Nothobranchius furzeri: one gene and its partners. The protein of the gene in region 2 purifies or fractionates together with the protein of the main gene of each other region. This does not show direct contact. Links are inferred from orthologs where the notes say so. Each region holds a gene or a part of one and is shown on either strand. Other genes may lie near its edges.

Region 1 (7,870 bases), on a different chromosome or scaffold from region 2:
AAACATGAATTAAACGAAGCCTCGAGGCAAAGAATTTGACTCGAGGCTTTTTTGTACTCCAATTATTCGAGGTACTCGAGGAATCGTTTCAGCCTTAATAAAAAGTCTTTAATGTTATTAATGTCCGTGACTGTGGGCACCTTTTGTCACTGATCAGTTATGTCACTTTCCACCGAAATGGCTACTGTTTGTTAACGTCTTAGCAAAGGGCCATTTTTCGTTTAGAGACGCAACAACTGAGAAGACTGATCCAGTGCACTTTCCCTGTCACCTCATTTGGTTATGTGACAGCAATCGTCTTAGAAACTGAAATAAGTGTGCGTATATAAAATTCTAATATCGGTAAATATTGGTATTTGGCCATGACCACAATATTAATATCAGATATTGATATTGGCCCAAATTCTCATATTGAAGCATCCATAGTTAGAACTCTTGGCATGCACTGTTTTATTAGGAAAAGGTCCTAATATCTAGGATTTCTTTGCGTTTCAAATGTATTATTCAATTTTTCTGTAAATGAGGTTTTTTCTGTGACACAACAGATTGTTTTTCTTTGGGTATAAAGTTTGTTTTGTTGCCTGACAACTAAAAATATCAGTGATCTATAGAGCTTTTTTCCTCATCCTGTAAAACTAGTCACAGCCTTGTGAGTGACTGAGAAATTACTAGAGGTGACTGATGCAACAAGGAGAAAATCGGCCATTTAAGTAGCCCAAACAATCAATAACAACATAAGGCTAACTTGTTGGGACAGCAAAAATGTATTCCACATGCTCTCACTGGCCCGGTCGGCCATTTCTTTTGGCATTCTAGTAGTTTGGCTCTCCTTTCTTTCCCACAGCACAACAAGAACTAACCAGTGAAATGTAATTGCTGGCATAATCTTGACACTCCAACACAGAACAGCACAGGGTCACCACTGATACCAGTGCCGGGAAATGAGGGAAGGGCTAATGAAACAAGAAACTTGCTAAGACCATGCGATGCTACTTAGAGGAGAAGCATTTTTACAGTTCTGTAACAAAACGTTTAATCTTTAAAAAGTTCTGATAGACATAAATGTTGTCTGATTAGGAGTTTAGCAATAATTAAGGTTCAGGACCTGCACCTAAAGCTCCTTCTTGTCCTATGGGTCACAGAGAAGCAAATATTGGAAAACTGAGAGGCTTCTAACTCAGGTTGTAAAATAGACCAGTGTGTACACTCAGCTCCCCATCTTAAGAGCCTGGCTAAATGCAAGAGTCCATATTTTAAAAACATCTTGCTCAGGTGGACAAGCCTTCCCACATCTGCCTATATTCTAAATGGACAACCAACCGCAAGCAAAAAATACCACTGAAAAGGCTGTCCAAGAAAAACTGATACGATTGCAATTTGCTCAGCAAATTGACATTAATAAGGGGGGGAAACGGCATTCAAGATGTCAGTCAGTGGTGCCGAGTCAAAATGGGGGGCAGGGCTCCTGTTTTCTGTCCAAAACGGACAAGCAGGTAAGTCATTCAGACAGAGACGAGCTGACACCTGGCAGCAAAGTGAGGAGGGTTATTAATGTAGCGTATCTACTGGGAACTGGGTTGTGTGTGTCCCCTGAACAAACCAACACACACACACACACACACACACACACACACACACACACACACACACACACACACACAGATAGAGCCCCTCCCAAAAGAGTAAAAGTCAACTTTCCATGAGAGCATTCATTTTCCTCATTGGGGCTCACTATTACAGACACATTCGTTTTCTTTTTCTCCCACAGGGTGAAGAGATTAGTTACAAAAGAGGATGTGTTTCTGAAAGGCAATCACAGTCAGCTTGGGAGTCAAGGTGCAGTGAAGAAGAAACATGGTTGAGTTGTCATGACAACCACCCTGCTTTCACTGCAGATGATGGTTTAGTGAAAATCTCCTGTGTAGTTCTGTTTAAGTCCAAGGCTGGGTTTGAGCTGTAATGATTATTAATCACTTTTTACTTTGAAAGTGAACCCAAGGTCAAATGTGAGTAGCAAATGATGATTTATCAATGAGATTTAATGGTGTGTTATTTTTACTAATTGAGGAGATATCTATAAATAAAGTATGTGACTCTGTCTTAAACCACTAAAAGACAGTAAAGTTTCTTATATGATGATAAATGATAAATGATAAATGACCCGCACTTGTATAGCGCCTCTCAGAGTAAGGACTCCAAAGCGCTTTACACTACAGTGTATCATTCATCCATTCACACACTCAATCACACGCTGATGGTGATGAGCTACAATGTAGCCACAGCTGCCCTGGGGCACACTGACGGAGGCGAGGCTGCCGAGCACAGGCGCCACCGGACCCTCCGACCACCACCAGCAGGCAACTATGCCCAAGAACACAACAGCAGAATTCTCTGTCCGGAGCCGGGATCGAACCTGCAACCTTCCGATTACTGGACAACCAGCTCAACCTATTGAGCTACTGCTTCCCCCAGACACATGTTTCCTAAATAGGGCTCTCCCTGGAATCACATGCAGGGGGGTTGTAAATATATTGGCCATGTGATGCAATCAGCTGTGAGACCTCAGCATCCGTACTCTTCTATTAATGCTGCACAGTACGATGTTTTAGCCAGACAGCAGTAGCAGTTTTAGGGTATGACATATAACTATTAAGTTTTGTGTGTTACTCAGTGTTGAACCAGGTGGTTATAGTCTAAAGACGCCTTGTTCCGTGTAGAAATTAAGTTTAAATAAGCTGCAGGAGTGTGGTACCTTTAAAACAGTTTTCTTAATGACTGACAGGCAGAGACATCGGGCTGTCAAGCAACATTATAAAAATGCTAATTATGGTTTTCAGTTGTTTTGATTTTTGTAACTTGTAAGGTCTTAATCTGTGCTGTCTGCTCAGGGCATTCTTGAAAAAGAGACTTAATTTCAAATCTGATTTTCTAGTTAAAGTGTGCTTCTTGGCAATGCACTGATGCAAGAAACTGTATATTTACTCAAAAGTAAACAATTGCCGTTACAATAAAACACAGCAACACAGACACAAGTCTACTACTTCACTCAATAGTACATGCATCATGGATTAAAAGCTGGATAGACTTAAGTGGTTAGAATGACGGATTTGTGTTCGATTTAAATGCATCATTAAGACAGAATCATAACTTTAACTGTTCATCAACTTTGCATGAATGCTATTTGATTTTTATCACTTTAATAAAGTTGCTTTCCCCTCCTGCAAACCAAATAAAAATAATTCTGTTTTTAAAGAAAATGGCACATTTTTATAACTTTGTTATTCCTCATGATTGTTTCTGTTGTTTTCAACATGTAAACTTTTTGTATTAAGTCAAATATAAATAATTGGAAACATACTATTTGATTTAGGGAATCTACTGACTGCATTATGACATGTTAACATAGTTGTTTAGTATCCAAATAAAGCTAAAATTAGTAATCTAATTAAGTGGTTACCATCCAGTTATTTTTATTTATTTGTTTGTTTATCTATTTGTTTTTTGTTTATGCTTTTTATGCAAAGCTACTTTGACGAACTAGAGCAATTAAAAAAACAGTACTTTTTTTTAGTAAACACAAATGTACATTTATTAACATTTCCACCAAGTCGTCAGCCTTTAAGAGCTAACACTTCAGTTCTGGTGAATAAAGGAGAAAGGTCATGGTTTACTAACCTTACAAATGGCTGAGCAGGCATTTCAGATTCCCTCCAATGATATGTAAATTATTATAATGTAGTTTTAATAAGAAAGCATGAAGGCATTTTGATGAAAAACATATCGCTTAAGCAATCCTTTTTAGTAGGAGCACAACACAAATATCTTTAAAAAGAAAGATGTTTTTGTGTTGTACAACACATAACAGATATTTGAAGATGTCAGCTTGAATACTGCACACAAAAGGTTTGACATTATTTGTTTTGTGTTATTTAACTAACTATTTTGATAAACGCAGAAGTTGTGACATGAGATATTCTCAAACCACACACACACACACACACACACACACACACACACTCACACATTTCTCCCTGTCTTTTTTAAACGTTTGCAGTACAAAACAAAGAAAACGTGATGTAGGTGTTAACTTAAGTGTTTAAGTTGCGGTGCTAAAATCAGAAGGAAAAGCTTTGACGTTCCGTGCTGCTTTGTTTTTGTGCTGTGTTGTTGTTAGCTATGATGCTAGCCTGTCTAGCTGCATTAGCGTCGGTCGCCATGGTGACTAGGGCAGTGCTGTGTCAGCAGGAGCTGGATGCTGCTTTGAAAAGTCTCGCAACAGACAAAAACACAGTTTGCCGACAAATGTGACGCTAGAATAGCTGTGCTGTTCTCTAATAGCGCGTAACAACAAGTGGTCGTTTTGCTGCTACGCTCTCACCTTCCCACACGCTCCGTCTCCAACCACGACAATTTTGAGCTGCTTGTCCTGACTGTCCTCCTCCGAGTCCGACATCTTGCTAGCTATCCTCTAAACGTTTGACAGAGAAACGCTGGTAACCAGTTACAGGCTGCTGAGTCCAGCTATCAGAGCGATCACTGACGGATTACAACAGACGCCATTTTAACTTCCAGCTAGAGGCTGCAGCTGCGAAGTTTGCATCACGCACGCGCTGCTGCCTCAACGTTTTTATTTTTTATTTTTTGGAGGGTTCGTTTTATTTTTAAACTAGGATAACGACCACCACAAAGACTGTATTGTAACCGTAGCATTGTAATTCAGTCTGTATTTTTTTTTGTTTTGTAGCATCTCAACAGGAAACGATTACAACCGGAAGTTGGATCGCATGTGAGTCCTGTGAGTAACGCTCTACTGTTGCTATGGTAACGGCAAATGTCGATAGAAGAAAAGATTTTCCCTCTAACTTGTAATTATAATTTAATTTTCATTTATTTTAATATTCCACATTTAAATTTCTTGCTGATTTATTTTTTGTATACATTTTTTATGGAATAAAATATTTGAAGAGACAATCTCGTCATATTGGGTATCGGGCATTATTATTGTTATGCATCCGTTTAGAAACACACTTAACAAACTTGTAATTATCGATAATTGCTCTATTTAATTTTTGTCAAACGCTTCCAGCGATGTTTAGGCATGTAGAATCTTTGTGAAGCAAATCTTGAATATTATAAGGAATTTGCAAGAAGTTGACGTTATAATCCTGCTGCTAAGGATTATGTAACTAGTTGAATCTCAGTTATATATTTCACAAGCGATCATTTTGTTCAAATACGCGGAACAAAATATTTTCAGCGTTTTCCTGTTGCAATAGGTTGAAGTTAATTTTTGCGTGATTCAAAATTCGATTATAAAGCCATGAAAATGAGCAAATGAATAAAAATTACACACTTTCAGGCATTTACTATGGTATTTTTGTCCATATGTTCTAGAAAACATTGATATTTCTCACTTCTTTTTTTGTTTGTTTGTTTGTTTTTTTTTTTTTTTTTGTTTTGTTTTGTTTTGGAAAATCAATTTAGAATCCGTGAAATAAATTTGGAGATAAGAAAATAAATGTGGCCTGCTTCTGGAAGAGAATAAGACACGGGACATCTCACTTCAGAAATATTTCCCTTCACTTTTCTTTTCTGCAGAATGACGTTTATTCACAAATCCAAGCGTGTGAAATGATAAAGTGAGAGAGTTTAGAAAACATCTTTTCCTGGTGTTTGGGATTAGATTTGCTGTTGAATGTCGCTCCTCGTCTTCCCAGATATCGCTGAGCGGAAAGAAACCTGAACCTGAGCCACTTTGAGACAGGTGGCAGCTTCTCTCTGTCATGAGATGCTCTCATGTCTGCTGACAGTTTTGCTAAAAGAAGAAAGGAGAGAAAACTTTGGGAGGCACTTTTTAAAAGAAGGAAAATAGGTCAAAAGAGAGGATGCGTTTAAAAATAAGAGACTTACATGCTTCGTGCTTTAATTTAAAATATTCTGCAGCGGGTTTAATGTGCATGGATGAATTATAAGTAAACAATGTATATTTTTTATTAAACACTTGATCACATAGAACTTTCATTACTGAATACAAAAACAAATAGTGTTAAAAGTCTCGGGTTTTTTTTTTTTTTACATGTGAGGGACAACCATTATTTCTCTGTCTGAGGTGGGTTCATGTTTTAGTTCAAATAAAAGTTACTTTGTGCAAATATCTAGAAAATTCAGGAGCGCTTCGACCTAAAGGATGCATGCAAACAAAATCCAACGAGCTGAGCTCATTTTGACATGACGAATCAGAAATCACATTTGGTTAAAATTAATCTCTGAGAATAGATGTCTGATAAAAATGCGACATTCAAAACATAAATGAACATGGTTGTTTTAGTTATAGCTACGTTAAGACCCATCTAATGATTTCTGCGTGAATAAACAATAATGCGTTTGACTGATGTTCTCATCGGTGAATCTGCTGCGGTGTCCCATCACAATTATGTTTTATCTTACTAAAATGAAAATTTAAAATAACAAAGCGATTAAAATTGTATTTCAAATATAAAAAATCGAAATAAGCTGTTCAGCTCCAGGTTTATGGACCATAACGCCGTAGTTGTTAACAACAAGCGTTCAAATTGGGATAAATCCCATTGGAAACCAAATAAGTCACAATAAAAACTAAAATTATCACATGAACGTTGCTTTAAAAAAATCTTTTATTTACTATTTTTACAGGAGTTGAAAAGTCCAATAAAGATTTATTTATCTAAACAAAAGGTGAATTTAAAATATATAGTGTGAAATCAGCGTAATTATATTAAAATATTATTTAAAAAACTAACAATGGCTTGAGAGGGAAACTGGGGACAGAAAATTAGGTCACCTATTCTAAGACAGACGCGGAGCCTTCAGTGCGCCATGAAGAAGCAGCGCACTGTGGCCTGTGATGGCACGCAAACCTGCGTCAGACTGATTCGATTTAGAACAAATCGGCACCTTAAAGAGAGAATAGTCCCTATATGGCAAAGACGAGAGTACTCTGATTAACCAAAACATGCACTGATGAGTAATAAAGGTAGTTCCGCCAGATGTCACACACTTCTGAAATTGGATCATTTAAATGTCAGCTGATTGCTGCTGGGAATGAAGGGTGCTTTCAGAGCCGCGAGTTGGCTTTTTATTTTGGGTTTATTTTGATATGAGATCAAATCCCGAAGACTCCAGGTCTTCTTTACGCGCTGATCTACAGTCAGACTCCTTGCGTCTGTAAGGAAATAAAAAGTCAGTGAAAAGCGACGCAGCAACTCCTGACCTGTATTACCTCCTAGACGTTAAGAGTCACAAATGAGGCGACTCATGCAATATTTCACTCCAATAAAAGACAAATAGTTTTCAGATGCCTTCTGCTAAAAGTGAAAAACCTGCTTATACGTCTAGGTGCGCCGAGCTCCTTAACACCAGAATACTCCTCTGGTTGTGATGACATGGTCCTGTCAGTCTTTCCTGTTCGGGGATCATTTTAACACTAGGAGGAATCCTGGTCCAGGAAAAACAACAATCCAGTTTCTGTTCCAAACTCCAGAAAAATGGGCAGAAAGAAGAAAAATACATTTTGTCCAGACGACTCCGGAAATTTTAATTTGCAATGGCAAAAATATTAATATTAATGAATACATCACTAATCACGTGTAATAAAATGCATTACTTTTAAAAATCATGGCGCTTAGATAAAACAGTCAGACGTATGTAATTCTAATGTGTTTCCTCTCACTCGTGTCCCAAAACCCCACAAAAAGAAGCATCATGAATGAAATGTCTGATATGTTTTAATTCAATCTAATCAGCCATTTGACACAAATCAAACATTTCAACTGGGAGTGGGTTTGTTTCAGCCTGCCTCCTCCTGCTCTCAGGCCAACAAACGCTGCATGCA
Region 2 (7,941 bases):
GCAAACAGGATAGCCGTCTTCTATCAACTGTCCCTCGACATTCTTCAAATATCCAAAAGATGCCCGTACTTCCCACTTTGTCTTCTTTGAGGGATAATAAATGTCCTGAGCGCTGCCGTCTCCTCCTTTGGCCATTATTTCAGCTTTAGCTTCAAGAAAGTTTTGGTTGTAAACAACAAAGCGTGCATGTGCCGCCGGAAACTTCAGCAGATGATACGGTGGCTGGTAAGGGTCACCGCGCCTACACCGCAGCCACGGTAATCCACTGAGATAATAGTTTTTTTTTAAAACAAGACGGTTATTTTTATTGTCAACTTTTTTTTACCGGGGTTTACAGCTACACCGGTTACCGTGACAACCCTACCTGATTGGTCTGCTTTGATCTTTTTGAAAACTCCGATCAAAACCGATAGGGGCGCTATCGGCCCATTGGGATCAAATGCCGATCCATCGGTGCATCCCTAATTACTGGATAACCGGCTCAACCTGTTGAGCTCCTGATGCCCAAACAAATCATTTATCAAATCATTCAACCCTTTAGTAAAACACTTGCAGTTTAGACGTTTTAAAATAACAAATTAAAGTTGAGTTCACTCCTGGAAATAAAATCCACCATCATAGACTACAAACCAGAATTCCTCCAAACCCTAATCACAGCTGTTATGAATGTTGGGGTGTTTCCTTTCTGGAACACTTTGCTCCATCAGTGAATTTGTGCAGGAAATGTCTCAGATGGTTTGTGAAACATGACTCTTGTGACTGAGCTCTGAGACAAAAGTTAAAGTGGGTCAGGGTCACTGGACAAAAGCAGCCTGTGAGATGCATCTCTCCACGTATTGTGGTCCCCAAGCTGTAATTGTTTCACTAAATTCATTGTGGTGTGTTTTATCATACATGAAGCTAGTCATTGCATGGTGGATAGCTGCAGCCTGAGCGACAGTCCTTTCAGAGTGGTTCACAAGGAACTGGTGTTGATTCTGTAGTAGAGTTTAAAAAGATACATTAGCGTTGATCTGACCTTGGTGAGACACTTAACTGAATAGAATAGAGAATTATTTTATTGTTCTTTGGTGGAGAAGTTTTGATGTAATATTTAGATTCACAAGAACAATAAACAGTTGTACAGTGAATAAAATATGTGTTGAAAATGCTCTAGTAAAAATACTGAATTTGATTTGCTACCTATAAAAAATACTGAGTAATAAAATAAATATTTACAGGAAATAAGAAAATAAATTGAAAACTGCAAGAGATGAATGAGGTACACCCCTCTGAAATGAATCTGTTTCTTTCAGATTGGCACTCACATCCGGGCCAAGAGAAAGAGAGAGGAGTTGAGCAACGTTCTGGCTGCCATGAGAAAGGCTGCTGCCAAGAAGGACTAAAGTCTGACTCAATAAATGTTTGTTAAACTAATCAAGCTTCTGGCTACTTTCTTATTATGCAAATGTGTATTTTGATTATCGTAAGAATTTCATTTTATTTTTTAATAAAAATTGTTGGTATAGGTAACTTTTGGAAGCAGCCTGTGTGGAGTTCAAAAAGTAAATCTAAGGTGTGTGTACACAGTCTTATGTGATATTCAATTAATGAAAGGCTGAAATCTTACTGCACAAAACTCAGCCTGAAGTCATATTGTTCTTGGTAGGGGTATGATGGGCCTTGGCTACGCTTGAGAAAGATAGGTGGTGTTTAGTATACTAACAGCTACTGGGTAAAGGTGAAAACTGTTAGGTAGTCCTGGCTTTGATGCTGCTGAATATCCAGCTGGAATGTGCATAGTTATTGAGGGACCTCTTGTGACGCTAGCATTCCTGAAGCTGTGCTGTTACTACTTTGAAGTACACTGTTACAGATTAATGTAAACTAGTCTTTAGACCTACAGTCATTACAACTATTCAATTGGAAGACAGTTTTATTAAAATAAAATCAAACTGAAAGCCTGTAGCCTTAAAAATGCTTGGGGCCATCTTACAAGTCAAATCTAAGATCAAAGCATTCAGGTTAAAAAAAGCTAACAAATCTGAAGCTAACGGATGCAATCCAGATAAGCAACCTGCAAAATGTTTTTTCAACACTTCAAAAATACATCCTTAAAGTTCATTTCTGACCCTGAATGGCTTGGCCTGTTTAATCTTTTAATTGCATTTAAAATATGATTTTATTATCTAAAAACTTATGTTCATATAAAGTCATTCAGCAGCAGCAACCTGTTAGCAATCAAAACCAGTTACAGTGCTAGTTAAAAGAGCTTAAAATAACAAAATAAAATGTTAGTTGAATGTGGTTAAAGCCCAGAGCATAAAGGTAATTAAAGATCCTGTTCCAACTGACTGGAACCCATCCTATTGAAGCATGCTGCATGGAAGGCTTGTGTTGGTTTGTACTTTTGACAAGTTTACCCTGCCAATATGGCGGAATCGCTTACGTTTTTAAACAAGTTTTATTTAACCAATAAAGCTTACAGGCTTACATAAGAATCAATATTTACAGTTGAATTCTGAGCATGACAAAATAAAGCAGGTGTACAAACAGAAACAATAATATTAACCTAGCTCAATATCAACCTGCAGAAATCATAACTATATATATATATATATAAATATATATGTGTGTGTGTGTGTGTGTGTGTATATATATTACATCAACATTTTTAGGGGTAAAGGAAACATTTACCAAATTGTTATAGAGCCAAATGGCTTTCTTGGAACTACATAATTTAAGAGAATCCATAAAGGATGCAAGTTCTTTAAAAAAAAAAACAATAAAGATCGGTTTGATGTTGCCAAATTTACATTTGTGTATAAAGAATTTGGCGAAAATAATCAAATTATTGACAGTGAATTGCTGCATTTTATTTTCCAAACTAATACCATTCTTGATGTCAGAAAAAGATAAGGAGCGTATAATGAAATTATTATGCGTTAACCACGAGTGAAAACTATCCCAGAAAATTTTGGTAAAGATGCATGTGAAAAATAAATGTATCTCAGTGTCTATATTAGAAGTGCTAAAGGCACAATTGTTCTCTCCAATATTAAATTTAGACTGCAAGAAATCTTTGCAAGGATAAATACTGTTTATAGTTTTAAAATGAACTTCCTTGGCTTTAGGAGGGATTGGGAATTTGGGATAGTTGCATCTAATGTTTTTAACATCAGAATTACTAAATTGACGCACTAATTCCCGTCTTCTAAGAGGTAAGGGAAAGAGGGCGTCAGTGAGCCAACATCTAAGGATTTTATTATTGCAGTTCCTGTCCACAAAAGAACAGTTCTTAATTGTTAAAGGATGCATTTTTGGAATAAGGTGAGAGTACGGAATCGCTTACGGAGGAAACTGGTGTTTGGTTTTAACGGCGAAACGCTCTATCCGTTTCCGTCCCGCCTACTTTTCTTTCACGCGCTGTGATTGGTTCGTAGTAGTTCTCGTTCCCACTGAGTGGCTGTGAGAGCTGTCTGTCCGTGGGCGGGTATGTTTAGCTGATTGCATTATTGGAATCGGATTTATCCTGTAGTCTAACTGTTCTGGATTAATTTCGTATTGCCTGCTCTATTCCTGGCGAATTTCGACTGTCCGGTTGGCCTGCTACGATAAAGTTAACGGCGTCATTTCCCCCCCACATTCTGGATAATCGGTAATAAACGGAAACTGTCCCGAGATGTCTCGGAGTGAGGAAAGGGCCAAGGAGATTTTGAAGGGCTTTAAACTGTATCCTTCCACTGGGTGATGGTAATGTTTTTCACGGTTAAGCTTGATGTGTTGTTATAACTACTGCTGCAGTTAGAAGTCGGCTCCTAAGATTCTAAAACAGCTAGCTGTTCATGCTAACTAACCGTTAAATGGCAAAATTTCCGACGTGCTAACAACCTGTAAGTTGCTGCCTGTTGGTGTGACTGATTAAATTCGGTTTTATGGGGCTGTTACCGATCAAACATGTTGTCTGAGCGTGTCGTGGAAGCTGCTAGTTCCGTTAGCTCCATATGTAAGCAGCTTTGCGTGAGGACTTCAGGTGGATTGGTGCTGCAGCTGGCCCCCTGTGTGTGCTGCTACCCAACCTGAACAGGACCTTTGCTAGCAACCGTTTCTTTTGGCTGTACCTTTTAAAAGTCCTTGAATCAAACTAGAAACTTTTAAGTGGTTCTGCCGCAGAGTGGAACATTCAACTCCACCTTTAATTGGAGCCAAAGTTTTGGCCACGAGCACCGTCTTGATTTTGAGGGAGGAAAATATTTCATAAAGTCAGCACTCTGTTCACTGTAGCACCAAACGTGAGTTCATCATGACAGCTGTGTGGTGTGGTGATGACTTTTATAATGTTTTACGTGATGACAACAAATATTGTAAGAGGTGATTTCTGTGGCATGTTCAACTTTACCGGTGAACCCCATCAGCACCTCTGCCATCTGGTCGGATTCTAGAGAAAATCGTCAATCTCATCAAAAGAAAATAAAAAAATGCATTAATTTTAATATATTTTGTTTGCACGAAGCAGGAGGAATAGTTTACTTGAGGAAGCTGGGATGTCCGTAAGTGATGCCATGAGCTGCAGCTGTTACTTTTTTCAATCTGTGATTTTACTCAAATGCTTATAGATATCCAGACACTGCCCATGTTCTGAGTCGTCTGAGTTTAGAGGGAGTTTCTAGGTTGGATGGTGTTTCAATCAATCATTTTATTTATAAAGCCTCTTCCCACCCCCAATGAAGGGGGTCCAAGGTGCTGAACATAGTGCAAAGAAGCAGCACAATAAAACAGCTCTATAATAAAATACAGAGATGAAAACATAAAAAAACAATTAAAAAAAAGAGGTTAAAACAATTTAAATAGTGATCGAAAACATTAAAATGTAAATAAAAACAACGAAGAAACAGATCTCAAATGCAGCTTATGCCTTGCTTTAAAGGTGGGCAGCGATGTGGACTGTTTGATTTCTTGTGGTTCCAAAGCCGAGGACCCCAGAACTGCAAAGGCACGAACAACTGTAAGATGCCAGGAAGCTCATAATTTCAGCGAGATTTAAATATTTCCCATTTGTTCCCAGAGAATTTTGCAGACTGTTGCTGTTTGTTGTTGGACCTTTTCTGAGAAACTGGATTAAATGTTTTTTTTCTGGTTCAATGTTGAATTTTGCCCAGGAACAATCAGGGTGGGTGCAGAAAGGGTCTGGTTCCATTTCTCTTTGCCGTGTTTGCCTGTTTTTACTTAACATCGTGCTGGCAGAAATTGGATGAACCTTCGGGATGCAGAGACGGGTAAGGTGCTGTGGCAGGGAACAGAGGACCTGTCTGTACCTGGAGTCGAACATGAAGGTAAATCGCAGCATACATTATACAGTAGATGGGTAAATGACACGCTCATTACTTTTATTTGAGACTCCATATGGGAGTAAAAACAAATTGGCACAAAGTGTGACAAAACAAAATTCACATAACCGCTTCACATTCCTCAGATCTCTCAGCTCGCTTATCTTTGATTTTAAAGGAGAAACATGTTAAACAAAGGGTAAAGAGGTGATTAAGAAAATAATCTGGCAAATACTTTGAGTTTCTGACTACCTCTACATTTCTACGCCCAAAAAGCAAATTCAACTAATCTCCCACACAACCAGTGCCTTATTTAACACCCATTTAACCAATCAACGTTCAAAAGAATTACCAAAAAGGGACACTATCTCTAATGATAAAAGTTAGGATTTGTTTTTGCCCTCCTTTTTTTTCTGCAGCTGAATTTTTTTCCCTCTATTTCCAAGTTTAACAAATCAATAATTATATTATTAGACTCTATTCACAGCTGTTCTAGATCATTTCAACCCTCAGGAGGCAGGCGTTGCAGATTTGCAACGTTAAAACCTACCTACCTGGTTACTCCACATACGTATTTCATGAGCAGTTTTTCCTTTTATCAAAACTTATTTTAAGCTCGAGAGGGTTAATAAAAAGTAAATATTCAGTAGTGATGGGTTTCACCCTGTCCTGTGGGCTCCAAAACAAATCTGATGGTTGATAATATCCAGTAGTTTGGACGTGTTGACCTAACCGTGATGTCTCCTCTCCTGTCTCAGCTCGTGTCCCAAAGAAGATCCTGAAATGCAAAGCGGTGTCCAGAGAGCTGAACTTCTCTTCTGCTGAGCAGCTGCAGAAGTTTCGGTTGGAACAGAAAGTTTTCTTCAAAGGCCAGTGTCTAGAAGGTAATGTGTGAAACACACTCTTTCAATACAATCTTTATTTTAAAAAAGCCTGACATCTAGTCCTAAAAGTAGATGGGGGGGGGGGGGGGGTCTGCCCAGTGGATGGACACTGGAAACATGTTCCACAAGAGAAGAGCACACCTGTAGTAGACCTGCATACCGACAGCTCAGGGCTTTGTTGGGAACATTTGGAACGAAAAGCTCTTTAAATGAAGTAAATTAGTTCGATGACGATGAAAAAGCTGATGGGAGCGTGTTTCGGTGCTGATCCTAACATCTCATGGGTTTACCTCCACACACCTCCTGACCCCAGAGACGAGCCTGAGCTAAGAAATGGTGTTGGGTGGTTCTGGTGTTTTTCACAGCTGCAGAGTGTTTGCTTCAGTTTTTAATCTACATTTCTGTCATTTTATGAATGAATATCTGATTTGGATAATTTTGTATTTATGTTGAGTGTTTTTTAAACCGTTTTGATGGCCTCTGATTAATTTGATCAGAAATAATCAGTAAACATTGTTAAGGGGAACTGTGCAAAGAGGAAAAAAACAGTAAATGGTCACTGTTCTGATGTCTAAATTATAAATTTAGAGAAGGTGGCCAATTTTCTTGTTTTTTGATTTTTTTACATGAGATTTGTGACGGATGAGAATCTATAATTTCTTACTTTAAAAAAGCCCAAGATCCGCTGTAGAAGTGGTCAGGGTTTTAGATTTGATCCCCTGTTCATCAGTTTGACTCTCCTGATGTAGAACCAGTAATACATAAGCAACCAGTGAGACCATCAAAAGAGCCACGATAACAAATATAGACACATATATCCCTTCTGATGAAACCAGCAGGTAAACAGGAACACACGGATGTGCTAAAATGTAAAATATCGTAGAAAGAACAAACAAGATCACGTAAAGAGTCCGCTCAGGGAACGAGGAGGTTCTCGTGTCTCTGCTCGTGTGTCTGGAGAACTGTTCCCAAGGAGCTACGGTTACTGGAACGCCCTGGAGAAAACATGGCTCTCCCATCACAACACATTCACTTTAGTCACACTTTCATTTCGAGTCTGGAGATTTCACGTCTCCTCACAAATGTTTCCTGGCCACAGTGGTCTGTAGCTCAAAGCCCTGTGGACATTACACACCACGCAGTTTCAGCTACCGATGGTGAAGAATTAAAGCCAGACTTGGCATAGACGCTAATCAGTTAAAACATTTTTATCTAGAGATTTTTGCATTTGAGATGTTTTAGATGTGTTTACATCTGCTGATTGAGACCAGGTTCTGTAGATCCAGGCGGTTTCAGAGCAGATTCCAGGAGCAACTGGCTCAGAAATGGCCCAGAACCAATCAAGTGGAGACACACACATGTCAGGAAGCTCCTGTAAATGTACTCTGAAGTTCCCACAGTGGAAACGCACCTAGTGAGGTGTTTTCTAAAACCAGACGGGGGCTTTACTTCTGCTGGCTCCCCCCTTTCAAAACAGAGAAGGCTGATTTTCAAGCAGAAGGGGCTCCTTCCGTGTCCAAATAAAAGTTTAGCAGACACCTCATTAGACACGAGCCAGTTCTAATGAAACCTACCCTGTGATTATTAAACAGTTTCACAGTAAGTATAACTAACTTCTATCATAAAAATGTCATGGAAGGTTTATTGTGGAAGCAGAGCTGAAGGGCGTGTCTGTCTGTCTCTGTGCAGAATGGTTCTTTGAGTTTGGGTTTGTAATCCCAAACTCCACCAACACGTGGCAGTCCCTGATA
Region 3 (6,064 bases), on a different chromosome or scaffold from region 2:
AGTGTCCTACAGCCAGGCTGTGTAACTTGGTGTTCATGCCTCCCTGGTTCTCCACGGTTGTCTACAAGGTGATAGAACAGCTTTCCAACATCAACAAATGTCTTAACCCAATCAAGAATTTGTCTTACTTGTGTCCTTTCTCTCCTCTAGACATCATGGGGTCATGTCCAACTAGACAACTGCAACTTTGAAGGAGCCCAGCTTCAAATCCGTGGCCCGGGGACCTGCCAGGCTCGATTTTGCTCCTTCTCCCAGGGAAGCTCTGCCCACTTGCTGAGTGTCGTCGTCAGTCTGTTGGACAGCTGTGACTTTTCAGGAAGTGACACAGCTTCAGTGACTGTGGAGGGCCCCCCAGTGTCCGAAAGAAACTGGGCTTGTAAACATTTGACTTCCCTGGCCAGGACATTCCCATCTAAGTTCAGCAGCTCCCCCAGCTGCCCTCAGGGCAGCTCCACTCCTGAGCCTAATCCTCCAGGGGGGGTTGCAAAGGAGTATGTGAGCATGGAGGACTGGAAAAGAAGGACAAGTGGAGAAGCAGTTTGTCAGGGCACCGTCATCGGAGACGGCTGGAGTGATGGTGAGCACAGCGAGGGGGAGGAGGAGAAAAACACAAGAAAACTCTTTACACTGGATTGCAAAATCCCATGTGAAAATCACAGCCTGTCCCATCTGCTGAAGCCTCGAGCGGACGGCTCTCTGCCACTTGCCTCCTCCTCTGACCCTCCGTCTGCGGCCCCTGACCCCCTCACCCTTCAGCAGGAATTAGACAGGGACCCGGAGGCTCAGATCCTAGCCTCATCCATCCTTGGCTGCATTTTGAGACGCTGCCTCTTCAGAAATGGGAAGGGAGGTGTACATTTGTCCAATTATGCACAAGCTCGTCTGGAGGACAACGTGTTCCGTGGGCTGAACTACGCTGTCCGCTGCATCCAAAACTCTACAGTAAACCCAACCTAAATAATATTTGTTCATGATAAATCTGTCAAACGCACCGTTACATCTTTAGAGATTTCATTTCCTTTAACGTACAAACTTAAGGAGCTTGCTGGAGTCATTAGTAATTCAGCAGCAGTGTCACTGGAGCTTCCTCTTTCCCTGCTTCTCCAGATTGTGATGCTGAGAAATGAGGTGTGCGAGTGTCGCGCGTCAGGTGTGTTTCTGCGCCTGTCGGCTCAGGGCCTCATCGCGGAAAACAACATCCACTCTAACGGGGAAGCCGGGCTGGATATCCGAAAAGGGGCCAACCCCATTATTCTGGTAGAAACAGCTTTAAATGTATTGTCTGTGTTCCTGTGTTCTCCGTTATTTCCTCTTTTGTTCTGCAGTGCAATAGGATACACAGCGGTCTGCGTTCTGGGGTTGTTGTCCTTGGCAACGGGAAAGGCTCAATTCGGAGCAACCTGATCTATAACAACAAGGAAGCCGGCGTGTATGTTCTCTTCAGCGGGAATCCTGTGGTGAGGTGAGCTGGACTCCAGAAACAGGATCACGTCTATCCCACACTTCCCATCATCTGGACATCACTCAGTGTTTCTGTATCTTCTAGAAATGTAATCAGAAGCTGTTGTTAAAAACCAACAAACATTTCTTTACAGATGATACGCTGACATGTCCGTAGAGCGACACTCATTAATAACGCTTCCTTTGGCTCTGGTCCGATTGCAGCTGTTCTACCGTCATTATTACGTGATTTACACCTGAAAATCTTTCATATTTACTGTATAAAGCTAAAATATGATAACGGAGTCTAGTTGCATCATAGAAATCATTTATCAACAATTTATTGATATCGTGCCAGCCTCAGTCACATCTGTAGTTCAGTTGTAGCTCTAAACGATCTCAATGCAGATGGCAAAAATAATCCTAAAACACTTAGATGAAGGCTGCATGGTGGCACAGTTGGTAGCTCTGCTGCCTTGCAGCGAGAAGGTCGCAGGTTCAAATCCCAGTGTGTGAAACAACCTGCAGTTGGTGAAGCAGCAAATGTGGCATAAACCATCTTACATAACATCTCTGAGGAAAAACTGGGGGTGGATGTGTTTATGCATCAAATAAAAAAAAACTCACGTGTTTCTGCAACGTTTAAGTCTGAACCGTTTGCTTTCTTAGTGGGAATCACATCTTCCAAGGCCAGGCGGCAGGGATAGCCATTAACGAGAACGGCAGAGGGATGATAACGGGTGTGTATTTGTGTGTGTTTGTGTGTGTGTCTTTGCTATGTTGTTACCAGTCAGCAGGACTAAATCTACACATTTTCATCCCAGACAACGTAATCCGAGAGAACCAGTGGGGCGGAGTGGACATCCGCAGAGGAGGTGACCCCATTCTGAAGAACAACTACATAGGCTACGGCTATTCCGACGGCGTGGTGGTGGGAGAGAGGGGGCGTGGTCTAATTGAGGGAAACCAGGTGTACTGTAGGTGAATTCAGCCTAATAACAGATGAGGAGTGGCTTGTTGCAGATGCTTCACCTCCTCCTGAATCTGACTCAATCAGGTAACAAAGGCTGCGGTGTGTGGGTGATGTCCTCCAGCCTTCCACAGCTGCTTGGGAACTACATTGTCCACAACTGCATGTACGGGCTGGCAGTGTTCTGCAGGAAAGACCCGGAGAACGTTGAGGCCAGGGAGGGGAACTGGCCGGGGCAGGAAGTAATAGGCGGGGACGCAGCCAGTGGGGAAAGAAGAGGAGCAGAAGGTGACGCAAGAGAAGGCCAGGAGAACTTTAATGAGGAGGGTGAACTGTTTGCTTGGGAGAGCGATCTGGACAGTGAGGATGAGCGCCACTCTGCTCGCCGCTCCATCAGCGTGGCCCTGGTCGAGAGCAACTGCCTCAGTTACAACGGAGGTAACAAGTTCACATAAAACACCACGCATTACCTTAAACCCCTGACCGTGTCCCTCCTCTGTCCCTCTGCAGCTGTTGGTCTGTACGTAAAGAGCAGCGAGGCCCTCAATGTTTTTGCAAACCTAGTGAACAGCAACTGTGGCCCTGGCATCGCTGTGCTGCAGAGCAGTCAGCTGACGCGGCTCGTTGCAAACTGCATCGTGAAAAATGGTCGAGGCGGCGTTGCGGTGGAGAAGGACTGCAGGGTGGAGCTCCGTGGCAACGGCATCTATGAGAACAGCGGCCACGGCGTCCGGTTCAGCGGGAACGGGCAGATAGTGGAGAACGATGTGGTTGGTAACGGGGGAAGTGGAATCCAGGTTTCTGTGAGCTCTGATATTAAGGTGAGATGAGGTCACTGTGAAGCAGGTTTCTGTGATCTGCTAGCATTTATGCTTGGAAAGGACTCGATGCTAACTTGACAACGATTTAAAGGTTTAAAAGGGGATGAACGGCTGTGAAATTTTAGAAACTGGAGCATTTTCAAGATGACTATATTTGGATTAGCCATTAGCTCATCAATTCTGAAGGACTCGACTCTTTCTGTGAGTAGAAGCTGTTCAGAAAGCTAGCGGTTTATAACATTTCCCAAATGCACGATGGTGCAGCTGGTAAATGCTTTGCAGCAAGAATGTATCGGGCTTACACTCCAGCTGCAGCCTTTTAGCACAAAGTTAGAATATTCTCTTCATGCATGCGTGGCTTTTCTCCAACAGACCAAAAACCTGCATGTTAAATATAAGCTGTAAGTTGCTAAGTGAATAAACCAACTGTTTACTGATTTGTGTCTGTAGGTGGTTCGTAACCGTGTCCAACCAGCAATGGGCTGTGGCATTGCTCTGCTGGGGCCACTAAAAGCCATTGTCCGTGACAACATCTTGTTCCAGGGTAACCCGGAAAACAAAAAGTCCCTCCTGCACACAGACTTCATCAGTGAAAGTTGTGTGTTGCGCAACAACAGTATTTTGAGACATAACAGGTAACTGAGATCTTCAGATGTCATCATAGCCGCCCGGTCCTGCAGCTTTTAGAGTGTGTTACTTTTATGTTTAGCTCTGCAGCTTCCTGATAATAATAAAAATGTAGGGATGCAACGATACCACTTTTTTCCAAACCGATACGATACCAATACTTGGATCTGAGCACTCGCCGATACCGATTACCGATACCGATACTTCTACCACACAAAAAAATGAAATGAATTGGAATACAGATTTTATTTTCTTCTCTGCTTTCAACAGGAAAAGACTGTGAGGTAGATAAAAAGTAAAATATATGAATGGAAATCATCACAAAACTAAAATATTAGGTGAACAGAAATGACAAGTTACAAGGAAGCCATTTTCAAGCAACTGCATTGGTATCGGTTAACTTTTACCGATACTGATATTGGTATTGGTATCGGCGCCGATACCGATACCAGTATCGTATCGGTGCATCCCTATAAAAATGCACTGTGGACATTGAATTCTGCACCATAAAGCAGTAGGTTTGTAAACATACGAAGACATCTGGTAGATAAAATGTATACATTGGCCTAGAAATCTAGACAAACCATAGCAGCAGCTAAAGACTGCTCTGCAGGATGGCTTACACGTGGGCCAATGGGATGTGCAGATGGTGTGGTCCTGTTGGTTTCATCAAAACGTGATCTCCGCCTGTCATCGGAGCGGTTCGCAGCCGAGTGTGAAGCAGCTGGGATGAAAATCAACTCTATATCCGAGACCATGGCCTTGAGTCAGAAAAGGGTAGAATGCCTTCTCTGGGACCGGGATGAGGTCCTTCCCCAAGCGGAGGAGTTAAAGCATCTCTGGGTCTTGTTCAGGAGTGAGGGAAAGATGGAGCGCAAGGAGAAACAGGTGCATACGTTGTACCAGTCTGTTGCAGTAAAGAGACCTGAGTCAGAAGGCACAGCTCTCCATTCGTCGGTCGATCTACTTTCCAACCCTCATGGTCACAAGCTCTGAGTAGTGACTGAAAGAATAGTGACAGATACAAGCGGCCAAAATGAGTTCTCCACAGGGTGTCTGGACCTTAGAGATAGGGTGAGAAGCTCAGTCATCCGGGAGGGTCTCAGAGTAGATTCGCTGCTCCTCCACATCAAGAGGAGCCAGTTGAGGCGGCTCGTGTATCTAGTTAGGATGCCTCCCTGGTGAGGTTTTCCAGGCACGTTCAACTGGGAGAAGATCTAAAGGAAGACCCAGGACACGCTGAAGGAATTATCTCACGGCTGGCCAGGGAACGCCGTGAGATTCCCCTGGCGGAGCTGGCCCAAGTGGCTGTGGAGAGGGAAGTCTGGGCTTCCTCGTTTAGGCTACTGCCCCCGTGACCCAACCCCGGATAAGCGACCGAAAATGGATGGATAGATGGAAGGACGGCTTGCATGGCTAGCAGCAAACCCTAAAATCGCCTGAGTACACCAAACATCGGTTTAAAATAATACTGCCTTTTCTTTTTTTCCCATTTTGTAGCTGTACACCTGCTCCGGCCTGGGTTCTGGAAAACCCTCCACCTCGCCCACTTGCCGGTTCTCCTGCAGGCCTTTCCTCATCCCGGTTTCCTTCCCGCCTTGGGATTTCCATGACTACCAGAGTTGGAGCCACGGTGGAAAGCGGTTGTCACAGTGGCAGCATGTTCTGCTCCATCCTGTGAAAACCGGATATGGACTCCCGACTGGATAGGATCACGGACTCTGACCTGCTGAAAACACGTCAAGGAAATTTACTTCGTTTTTCTGAAGGTTTCACCGTGGTCGTAACGGCCTAAAGGCACCAGATGAGAAAGAAAACATGCTAGGAGGGCACATTGTGTAAATCTGTGCCGTCACTTTTCAAACTTGGCTTTAATACCCATTCTCATAAAAAATATTTACTATCAAAATGTATTTATTTTTCAGCTATTTTAAAGTGCCGTGTTGGTTTCCACTCGGGCGTCTCGTCGGTGCGTTCAGGGGTCAGGTCTGATAGGATTTTATATTTCTGCTAAGTTTTTGGCAGTAGAGGTTGAAGAAACATCACAGATGTGATCTTCTGCCCAGTGTTGGAGATTAAAGCAGACCGGACGCACTTCAAAGCAGCTGAGAAATCCCCGAGTCCTCTTGTAGTCTCTCACAGGCGTTACGCTAAAATGTTCTTTTTCAGGGTGACTTTGGATTGTTCCTGAGATTTTCTGGTTTAG
Region 4 (7,895 bases), on a different chromosome or scaffold from region 2:
TATGTCATTGGCCTGCCTGCTCCTGAACAGAATCCTGTCCTGTTGACATAAAACCCTCCAATTAAACTAAAAGCTGCTAGAAATGCTAACAAAGATCAGAGGCAGCCTGTGAGCCCAGCTACATCAGCAGCAGGTGTGTGTGTGTGTTTACTGTGTATGAAGGCGTCCTCTGCTTAGACGTGGTGTCGTACTTATCGCAGCCAATGTCAAACTTATACGTAGGAAGGAAGCGTATCGGTGCCTCCTGGAAGCCCTTGAAGATCGAACCTGGGAGGGGAAGAATGACATCATCACATCCTGGAAGAACTAAAGAAATCAGAAGCTTCACACGTACCATCTTTCATTTCCTTGGAGAGTTGGTCGTGCTCCAGCAGAGGGCTCCTGTCGCCACCTGCTGAGCCTTTCATGATGTTTTCCACGTCGGAACGGTTTGCACTCAGCCGGAAGTTAAAATCTCCAAGCCAGATCACCTGGTCAAACTTGGAAGTGACGTCAGCTGAAAGGCAGAAGGAATAAAAACTTCCTGCCAGAAACTCATGCAGCAGGTTTGCCTTTATTTCTGTACTGTTTGCTTACATGGGTCGGAGCGATACTGGTTGGTATCTGGGAGGCTTTTAGGAAGCCCCAAAGCCTCGATGATCTTGTTGTAATCGAGTATTCTGTCGTAAACTTTGCTATCCCCAGCTGTAACAGGCAACGCATTAAAAACCGTTACAGAATGGGTTTCTATTGGTCAGGTCAGAATAAATCCTACTTCCACTAAAAGGTTTTCCTCAGTGAGAAAACGGCTAACGTCCCACACTCACATGTGAAGTGGGACGTTATGAAAAGGAACGAAGTGCCAAAAAAGGTAAAAGTGACTCCCAGAGCGCCTTTGGTCTTGATCTGAGAGACGATCCTGGTGGTGACTGTGGCGTGTTCCACCTCTGTAGAGAGAGAGTAAATGTTATAAACCAACAAATCCAGCTAAGACATTAGAGGACTTCACTCGTTCCAAACGGCAGTGGTGCCCCGGCAACATTTTCATGGGGGCCAGTGAGAATTTTGGGGTGGCGCACCAAATCGGTCCTTGTGGCACGTCAGGCAGAGTTTTGCCTGTGGCTGTGCATTTCATTGTTCCTTCATTCACTCATTCACAGCAATGAATATGTCATGTTGTTGATTGGTCCGAGCGCTGTCCAATCATGTGCAGACATAGATTCTGCCCCACGACAGAGGCCCGTCTGTGGGTCCATCCATCCATCCATCCATCCATTTTCAGCTACTTATCCAGATTTGGGTGACGGGGCAGCAGCCTAAGCAGAGAGCCCTCTCCTCAGCCACTTGGGCCAGCTCCTCCGGGCGAATCCCAAGGCGTTCCCTGGCCAGGTGTTCCATGTCCTGGGTCTACCTTTAGGTCTCCTCCTGGTTGAACGTGCCCGGAAAACCTCACCAGGGAGGCATCCTGACCAGATGCCCGAGCCACCTCAACTGGCTCCTCTCGATGTGGAGGAGCAGCGGGTCTACTCCGAGCCCCTCCCGAATGACAGAGCTTCTCACCCTATCTCTAAGGGAGAGCCCAGCCTCTCTTCGGAGAAAACTCATTTCGGCCGCTTGTATCTGTGATCTCGTTCTTTCGGTCACTACCCAAAGCTCATGACCATAGGTGAGGGTAGGAACGTAGATCCACCGGTAAATCGAGAGCTTCTCCTTCTGACTCAGCTCTCTCTTCACCACGACAGACCGGTACAACGCCCGCATCACTGCAGATGCAGCACCAATCCGCCTATCGATCTCATGCTCCAGTTTTCCCTCACTCGTGAACAAGACCCCGAGATACTTCAACTCCTCCACTTGGGGCAGGACCTCATCCCTGACCCGGAGAAGGCTTTCTACCCTTTTCTGAATCGAGACCATGGTCTCAGATTTAGAGGATTGATTCTCATCCCAGCTGTCTATGCGTCATGGCCAGATTACATATAGAATGGCTTGCTAGGGCAGCCATCTTTACAAAACCTATGGACATTCTACTTTTTGGTGAGCTGCAGCAACCTTTATATGTTTTTGATTATGATTTCTTTTATTTACTCATTTTCTATTTTCATAAGGTTTTACTTTGATGTCTTGATTGAACAAGGTTAATTTTTGGGTGAACATTTATACGATTTATTAAAATGGAGGGGCCTTCCCTGGGGGGCCAGTGAGATGGCCAGCAATTTTCTAGGGGTGGCCATGCCCCCTCTTGGGGGTACCACTGCCGACCAGATCTGAAACAGAACCAACCTGAACAGAACCATATGAGGTCTCTCCTGGTAAATACAGTCAGGTACAGAACACCATGTGATGCTGTATACAGCATGACGTAGTGAGGTCCCAGAGTCTCCTGAAGACAGGTCTCCCACTCCCTTCTGCAGAAACACACACACACACACACACACCAATTTAACACAGTTTACAACAATCACAACCTCTTTTTTTAATCACAGCACATCTCATTTCTGAAAAACCCAACTTGTCAGGGCACCCTTCCTGGACTCCAATGACATAAAAATCTTGTGCAAATTCAGAATCTGTAGGAAGGAGGAGATCGTTCAAGGTGGCTGGATGGAACTGGAAAGGACAGAAGCTTAGTTACCACTTGGTTTGGTGTGAGATGCTGCAGATTCAGGGCTTCCTCCTACCTTCCCACCCTGCATGTTCCACGTGACCACGTAGAATCCCACCCTCCTGTTGGGGAAGTATCGGTCCAGCTCCTCAGCCCCGAGCAAAGCACCACTTCCCAGCATGCTGCCCTCTAGGAAGCTCCTGGAATGGAGGCGTTGGAAAGCTAAATCAACCCTTGTTTGAAGTTTTATCATCAGCCAATTATGACATTTTCCAAAGCATTTTGTTGACTAATGTATAAATTCAGGAAATGTACAAGGTTCACTCATCCTTTATAAATGATGTGGATGTTTTAAGTCACATTTATGATTAGGAGGCATCAAATATCTGTCATGTTCTGTGTCCTTTTGGTCCCCAGCCCCCTCCAGGTCTCCCTCATGTTCCCCCTAGTCACTTCACTTAGTTATCCCATCCCATTTAGTGTTAGTCTCCTCATAGATTCCCTCTCTTTTGGTTCTGGTCTCCTTAGTTTCCCCAGTTTAGAGTCTTCGTCCCCGCCTCCTACTGGAGACCAGAAGACTCTGGGGCGCCGGCGGCGATGAGGCAGGGCCAGGAGGACCCCGGGAAGCCAGGGACTCAAGAGGCCGGAGACTCAGGCGGTGGAGCTGGGGAACCTTGGGGGGCCGGGGCCGCCTACAGGCCAGTCAGCAGCAGTGGTCACCACCAGCCCGGTCCTCACCCGTCACCTCCTGTGCCCCAGACGCTGGCTCCCTAGATTCCTGATCCACCGCCTGAGTCTATGAGGAGACTAACACTAAATGGGATGGGATAACTAAGTATGAAGTGACTAGAGGGAACATGAGGGAGACCTGGAGGGGGCTGGGGACCAAAAGGACGCAGAATATGACCAGATCAGTTTATTTCCATCAGTTCCTAAGCTTTCACCATCTCTGTAAATGAAATACTTCTTTGTAAATTGCTTTTTTATTTTTACATAAGATTTTAACGTCTTGACTGAACTGGACTCTACGTTTTAGAGCTTGACCTGATAAAGACAAATGTAGTGGATTTGACATGCAAAACAAAAAATGCAGAAAACCTTTATATATAAATAAATAATAAAACTTTAGCAAGTCCTACATGTGCTTACTTTCCCAGTGTCATTATGTTAACTCTCCACCCTTAAAGCCTGCTTCTAACTACCAAGTAGGAATAACAAGCCTTCACTTGCCTGGCCTGCTAGGTTAACCTACCTGGTTCTCACGTCTTTGGGCTTGATGGGACTAAGAACGCTGTAGATGGACTTTAAGGAGTTTACAGAGCCACTATCTGACCCCATGTTCTCCAGAAGCTTGCTGCCACTCAGGTTCCTGTGAATTTTCTCTCCAGTCCTCTCTGTGGTCAGGGCGGGATAATCTGAACAATCCTTACCAATCCTATTAGGTAGCTCTTTAATGGCTGACACAAAGTTGTTCTTCTGAGCAGTGTGTGTCCTTGTGGGATGCACTGGAGACAGTCGCACCTTGCCGGATCCCTGATGGTCCTCCAGGACACTCTGCAGGCCCTGTGGCCTGCTTTCATCTTCTGACAGACTGCTCACAGGAGATCCTGTAGTGATAGCAGACTGAGGTCTCACATCGAAGTCCTCCTCGTTCCTGACTGGTTCTGTCTGGTCTTTAAGCGAGTCTGTGGAGGAGCCGGTCTCAGCTCTGTCACTCAGGCTCTCCTGGCTGTTGTTCAGCCTCCTGGTTCTTAAACTCTCCTCTGCTGAGACACTTCTTTTGCTGCACTTTGACAGGCTGGTTGCCAGCGGGGCCCGAGGGTGGTATTTTGTAGTCTCCTCTGGCGCATTTCTAGCAATAGTTGCAAAAGCTTCATTTTGCTCCAAGGTAGATTTTACAACCCCTAAGGACTTTATGATGGTCCCCCTGTCTGTGCCATTCTCTCCATTTTCAGATGACTCACAGGGATAAAACAGAGTACAGTTCTCCCCATTCGCTGCCATCCTCTTCTTATGTCAGAAAACTCCTGCTTCCAGCTGAATGAGGCTCTCTCATCGCTAAACACCAGCAGATATGAAAAAAATACGACTTAATGAAAAATTCAAATAAGTTTAGCCACAATGTCATTAAAGTTGATCTGTTTACTGGTGGGTTTGATGCTATCTGAATAGCAAAAACAGACCAAATATCCCATTTTCTCATGTTTAATGCAGCTAACAAATAAAAAGCCGTCATCAACAAAAATGAGCAAACTCTTTATTAAGAATTAGCGTGTCGGACACCTAATTTGGCTACAAACGTTATTTTGGCACAACATAAGCAGACTGTGTATTTTGTTGTAGCTGATGAAGCTAAATGCTAGAAACCGCTATGTCTCCATATTTACAGCTAGCTAAATAGCGTTCTAAACCGACGTTTTTAACTCGTAATAATGGACCTTGGTCGTTTTATTTTTTGTCATCCAATACTTCTTTCACAATTATATGAGTGAAGTACATTTACCTTTAACTACTGCCCCCAGACTGGCTATTTCCAAAAGAAGCTCCGTTACTTCCTTAGCAACGTTTAACAACAGATTTTGTTACCAAGAGCGTCACTCTGTGAAGTCGAGACGTCACAGCGCCCCCGTCTGGTTAGAAGGTAGATTACAACTGCAACTGGGATCCCGTCTTTTATTTATTTTTCTGCTGATGAATAATCTGCTACGAATAAAGTTCTAAAGTGCATTATCTAAAATGTAACTGTAATTACTTAAACAAACAAACAATAAAAATAAAAACAAATGCACAAAAACAAACCATGTGGTTGTGATAACTAAATATTCACTCAATTATAATCATGGTTAAAAAGAAGTGGGATAGTAATATTGTGTTTGTTTATTTATTATTATTATTGGTAGTAGTAGTACTAGTAGTAGTAGTAGTAGTAGTATAACAAATAGCTATTTCTGTATGACTACAGAACTGTATCATTAATTTTTCTGAAACAACCAAAAGTAAACAGATTACGATTTGGTCTTGAAAAAAGTTTATAAACAGTAGTAGTAAAGAAAATGTTTCATCAAAATGTCCTGAATTATCTGGATGATTATGATCCATTATCTTGTATTAAATGAAGAAAACTAAAAGGATGTCCTATTTCTTTGCAGATCAGTATTCTATTTTACTTTAAAGAACAAGTCACCCCCTACCAGAGTCTAACTCCGCTCCCACTTCCTGTTTGAAAATTGCAACAAATGCTGTTGCCTAGCAGACCGAGGGGGCGGAGCCGCTAACAAATAAACAGGCTGTGTCTCAATTCAGGGTCTGCATCCTTCGTCGGCCGGTTACGTCACCGCGCCGCGACTAGGCCTGTCCCAGTTCGAAGACTCCTTCAAATGCGGTCGACGAATGCGGCCTTCTTTTTGCCTGAATGAAGGATGGGTCCGGTGTATCCTTCAGTGGTTTACATTTCCCAAGATGCCTTGCGGGTCGGACGGCAGAACTTTTAAAAACAATGGCGGACAGTGAAGCGGGAGCTGTTGGAGAGGATTGTGCATATAAATGTCAGTATAAACTTAAACTGTTAGGTTAAGGACTTTTGGTGATACATGAACGTTATTTTAGTTAGAAATGTTACAGTAAAAGTGCTTGTATTGCGGTCTCGGCTCGTATGTTCGGCCGCTCGGTGTCGTACTTCTCCCGCTACGTTTCCCCCAGATTTTAATAGAAGTTTGTATTTTAGGGACAAAAGAGAAAACCAGGGAATTTATTAAGCTTAGGGCGGAGATGGACCACATGATCACCGGAGCAAAGTGTTCGGCGGCTGTGGCATGGAGGTACAATAACATCTCATATTTTAAGTTTAGTTTTTTCTGTGAAAACATGAAAGGAATAACCCGTTGTCCTCTTTTCTCTTCCTGTTGTTTTCTTACATGTTTGTTAAGACTATTCTGGAGGAAATGGGCATCCAGGGGAAGGTGACAGCGATGACCAGCTTCTGGAGCTGATCAGGGAGGACATGAGGCTGCAGAGGGAGGCAGAGCAGCAGAGGGCACAGGAGAGAAGGGAGAACTTTGACAGAAAAAATGGTTAATAAAGATTAAACATGAACATATAAAAGAAATATCTAAATAAAACCAGTTCTGTATTAAACTCTTGAATTTTATTTTTGTTTACAAATGAGAATTGTTTACTAGAGGGTATCCGCTGGGTCTTAAAGTCTTAAAAGGTGATAAATGGGTTTTGGTCAAATGAAGACCCTTAGAAAGTATTAAAAACTATTATCACATCTTTGCTCAGGCTCAGCTTGTCGAAAGTATTTCTCTGAATTAGCTCTCCAACAGTCAAGGAAATGATTAAAAAGCTAAATAAAACTTCGAGCTCCATCGTTTAAAGTTCCTTCTCCCTTCTGCTCAGCGGTTCCACGGTTGCTAGGCGACGGAACGTTCGCCGAGGGAGCGGCGGGAATTCATGAAGGCTAGGCCTGTCCAAATTCACAGCCGTTAACATCCGGTCTACCCGGCCGACGGAGGACCCAGCCCACGCCAGCCGAGTAGGCTGGGTGCAGACCCTGAATTGAGACACAGCCACATGCTAATGACATTGTGACATCATATGGTACCAGCTAACCTTCTAGGGTACCTCTTAGCCAATAGCGATGGCAGATTTAAATTCAAATGCAGAGCAGAGTTTTTACCTGACAACGGCACAACACTGACAGTTTTAGGCAGAACATTAAATTTGAACTAAAATGCACCAAAGTGCAAAATTATTGACTACACGTGTCTGCAGCACGATTAGACACACATTTATACAGTTTATCAGGGAAATAAGGTTGATTTGGGGGTGACTTGCTCTTTAATCTCTGAGATAGAGTATTTGTATTTTTATAGACATATATATGGTCCTATATTTAGTTTAAAACTGTTTTTTAATTAAATTAATTAAACCTTCCCACTGACATCACTTGTTGAAACACTGCCAGTTAATTGTTCACTAAAAACCACCGTGCTCATGCACATCAAACTTTGTCTTTTTATGTAAACATCTGGGAAATGAATATTTTTTATTGTAATTTTCACCATGAGTATTTTTACTCTTTCACAAACTCATAACAGCTCCCTACATGCATCACATCCTGCTAGAGTGAGTGACTTCACAATCAGCAAATTATGTCACAAAAAACGAAGAATGTTGCTGACAAAACTGTGCGTATGGTACAGAAAAGACAAAGTGTGACCTCTGATTGTTAACCCTTTCATCCTCTCTCTGACCCCCGTGTTGTACGAGAAGCAGCCACTGAAAGCATTTCTGAGCTCACTGGCCAATG

What was found.
Region 1: the proteins of pde6d (region 2) and rab28 purify together in Homo sapiens (affinity purification with mass spectrometry; 3 studies listed by BioGRID and IntAct, with this or other methods). This does not show direct contact. The link is inferred for Nothobranchius furzeri from reciprocal best matches to the Homo sapiens genes PDE6D and RAB28.
Region 3: the proteins of pde6d (region 2) and fbxo10 purify together in Homo sapiens (affinity purification with mass spectrometry; 3 studies listed by BioGRID and IntAct, with this or other methods). This does not show direct contact. The link is inferred for Nothobranchius furzeri from reciprocal best matches to the Homo sapiens genes PDE6D and FBXO10.
Region 4: the proteins of pde6d (region 2) and inpp5e purify together in Homo sapiens (affinity purification with mass spectrometry; 3 studies listed by BioGRID and IntAct, with this or other methods). This does not show direct contact. The link is inferred for Nothobranchius furzeri from reciprocal best matches to the Homo sapiens genes PDE6D and INPP5E.

Annotation. Positions count from the first base shown.
Region 1 is NC_091741.1:80,044,714-80,052,583, reverse strand, and holds the start of rab28 (ras-related protein Rab-28), read right to left. Parts: upstream 4,589-7,870; 5' UTR 4,454-4,588; coding exon 4,379-4,453; intron 1-4,378.
Region 2 is NC_091756.1:55,089,878-55,097,818, forward strand, and holds the start of pde6d (retinal rod rhodopsin-sensitive cGMP 3',5'-cyclic phosphodiesterase subunit delta), read left to right. Parts: upstream 1-3,455; 5' UTR 3,456-3,661; coding exon 3,662-3,711; intron 3,712-5,223; coding exon 5,224-5,312; intron 5,313-6,064; coding exon 6,065-6,190; intron 6,191-7,879; coding exon 7,880-7,941. Other genes in the region: rpl36 (large ribosomal subunit protein eL36), read left to right, coding at 1,296-1,385. UniProt on the Homo sapiens protein: Promotes the release of prenylated target proteins from cellular membranes. Modulates the activity of prenylated or palmitoylated Ras family members by regulating their subcellular location.
Region 3 is NC_091747.1:78,699,692-78,705,755, forward strand, and holds the end of fbxo10 (F-box only protein 10), read left to right. Parts: coding exon 1-68; intron 69-150; coding exon 151-942; intron 943-1,107; coding exon 1,108-1,257; intron 1,258-1,325; coding exon 1,326-1,462; intron 1,463-2,109; coding exon 2,110-2,180; intron 2,181-2,264; coding exon 2,265-2,417; intron 2,418-2,497; coding exon 2,498-2,848; intron 2,849-2,920; coding exon 2,921-3,231; intron 3,232-3,681; coding exon 3,682-3,866; intron 3,867-5,358; coding exon 5,359-5,539; 3' UTR 5,540-5,930; downstream 5,931-6,064. UniProt on the Homo sapiens protein: Substrate-recognition component of the SCF (SKP1-CUL1-F-box protein)-type E3 ubiquitin ligase complex. Mediates the ubiquitination and degradation of BCL2, an antiapoptotic protein, thereby playing a role in apoptosis by controlling the stability of BCL2.
Region 4 is NC_091750.1:32,695,763-32,703,657, forward strand, and holds the start of inpp5e (phosphatidylinositol polyphosphate 5-phosphatase type IV), read right to left. Parts: upstream 5,213-7,895; 5' UTR 5,088-5,212; intron 4,643-5,087; 5' UTR 4,589-4,642; coding exon 3,837-4,588; intron 2,785-3,836; coding exon 2,661-2,784; intron 2,590-2,660; coding exon 2,492-2,589; intron 2,388-2,491; coding exon 2,263-2,387; intron 927-2,262; coding exon 807-926; intron 685-806; coding exon 577-684; intron 497-576; coding exon 335-496; intron 268-334; coding exon 152-267; intron 40-151; coding exon 1-39. UniProt on the Homo sapiens protein: Phosphatidylinositol (PtdIns) phosphatase that specifically hydrolyzes the 5-phosphate of phosphatidylinositol-3,4,5-trisphosphate (PtdIns(3,4,5)P3), phosphatidylinositol 4,5-bisphosphate (PtdIns(4,5)P2) and phosphatidylinositol 3,5-bisphosphate (PtdIns(3,5)P2).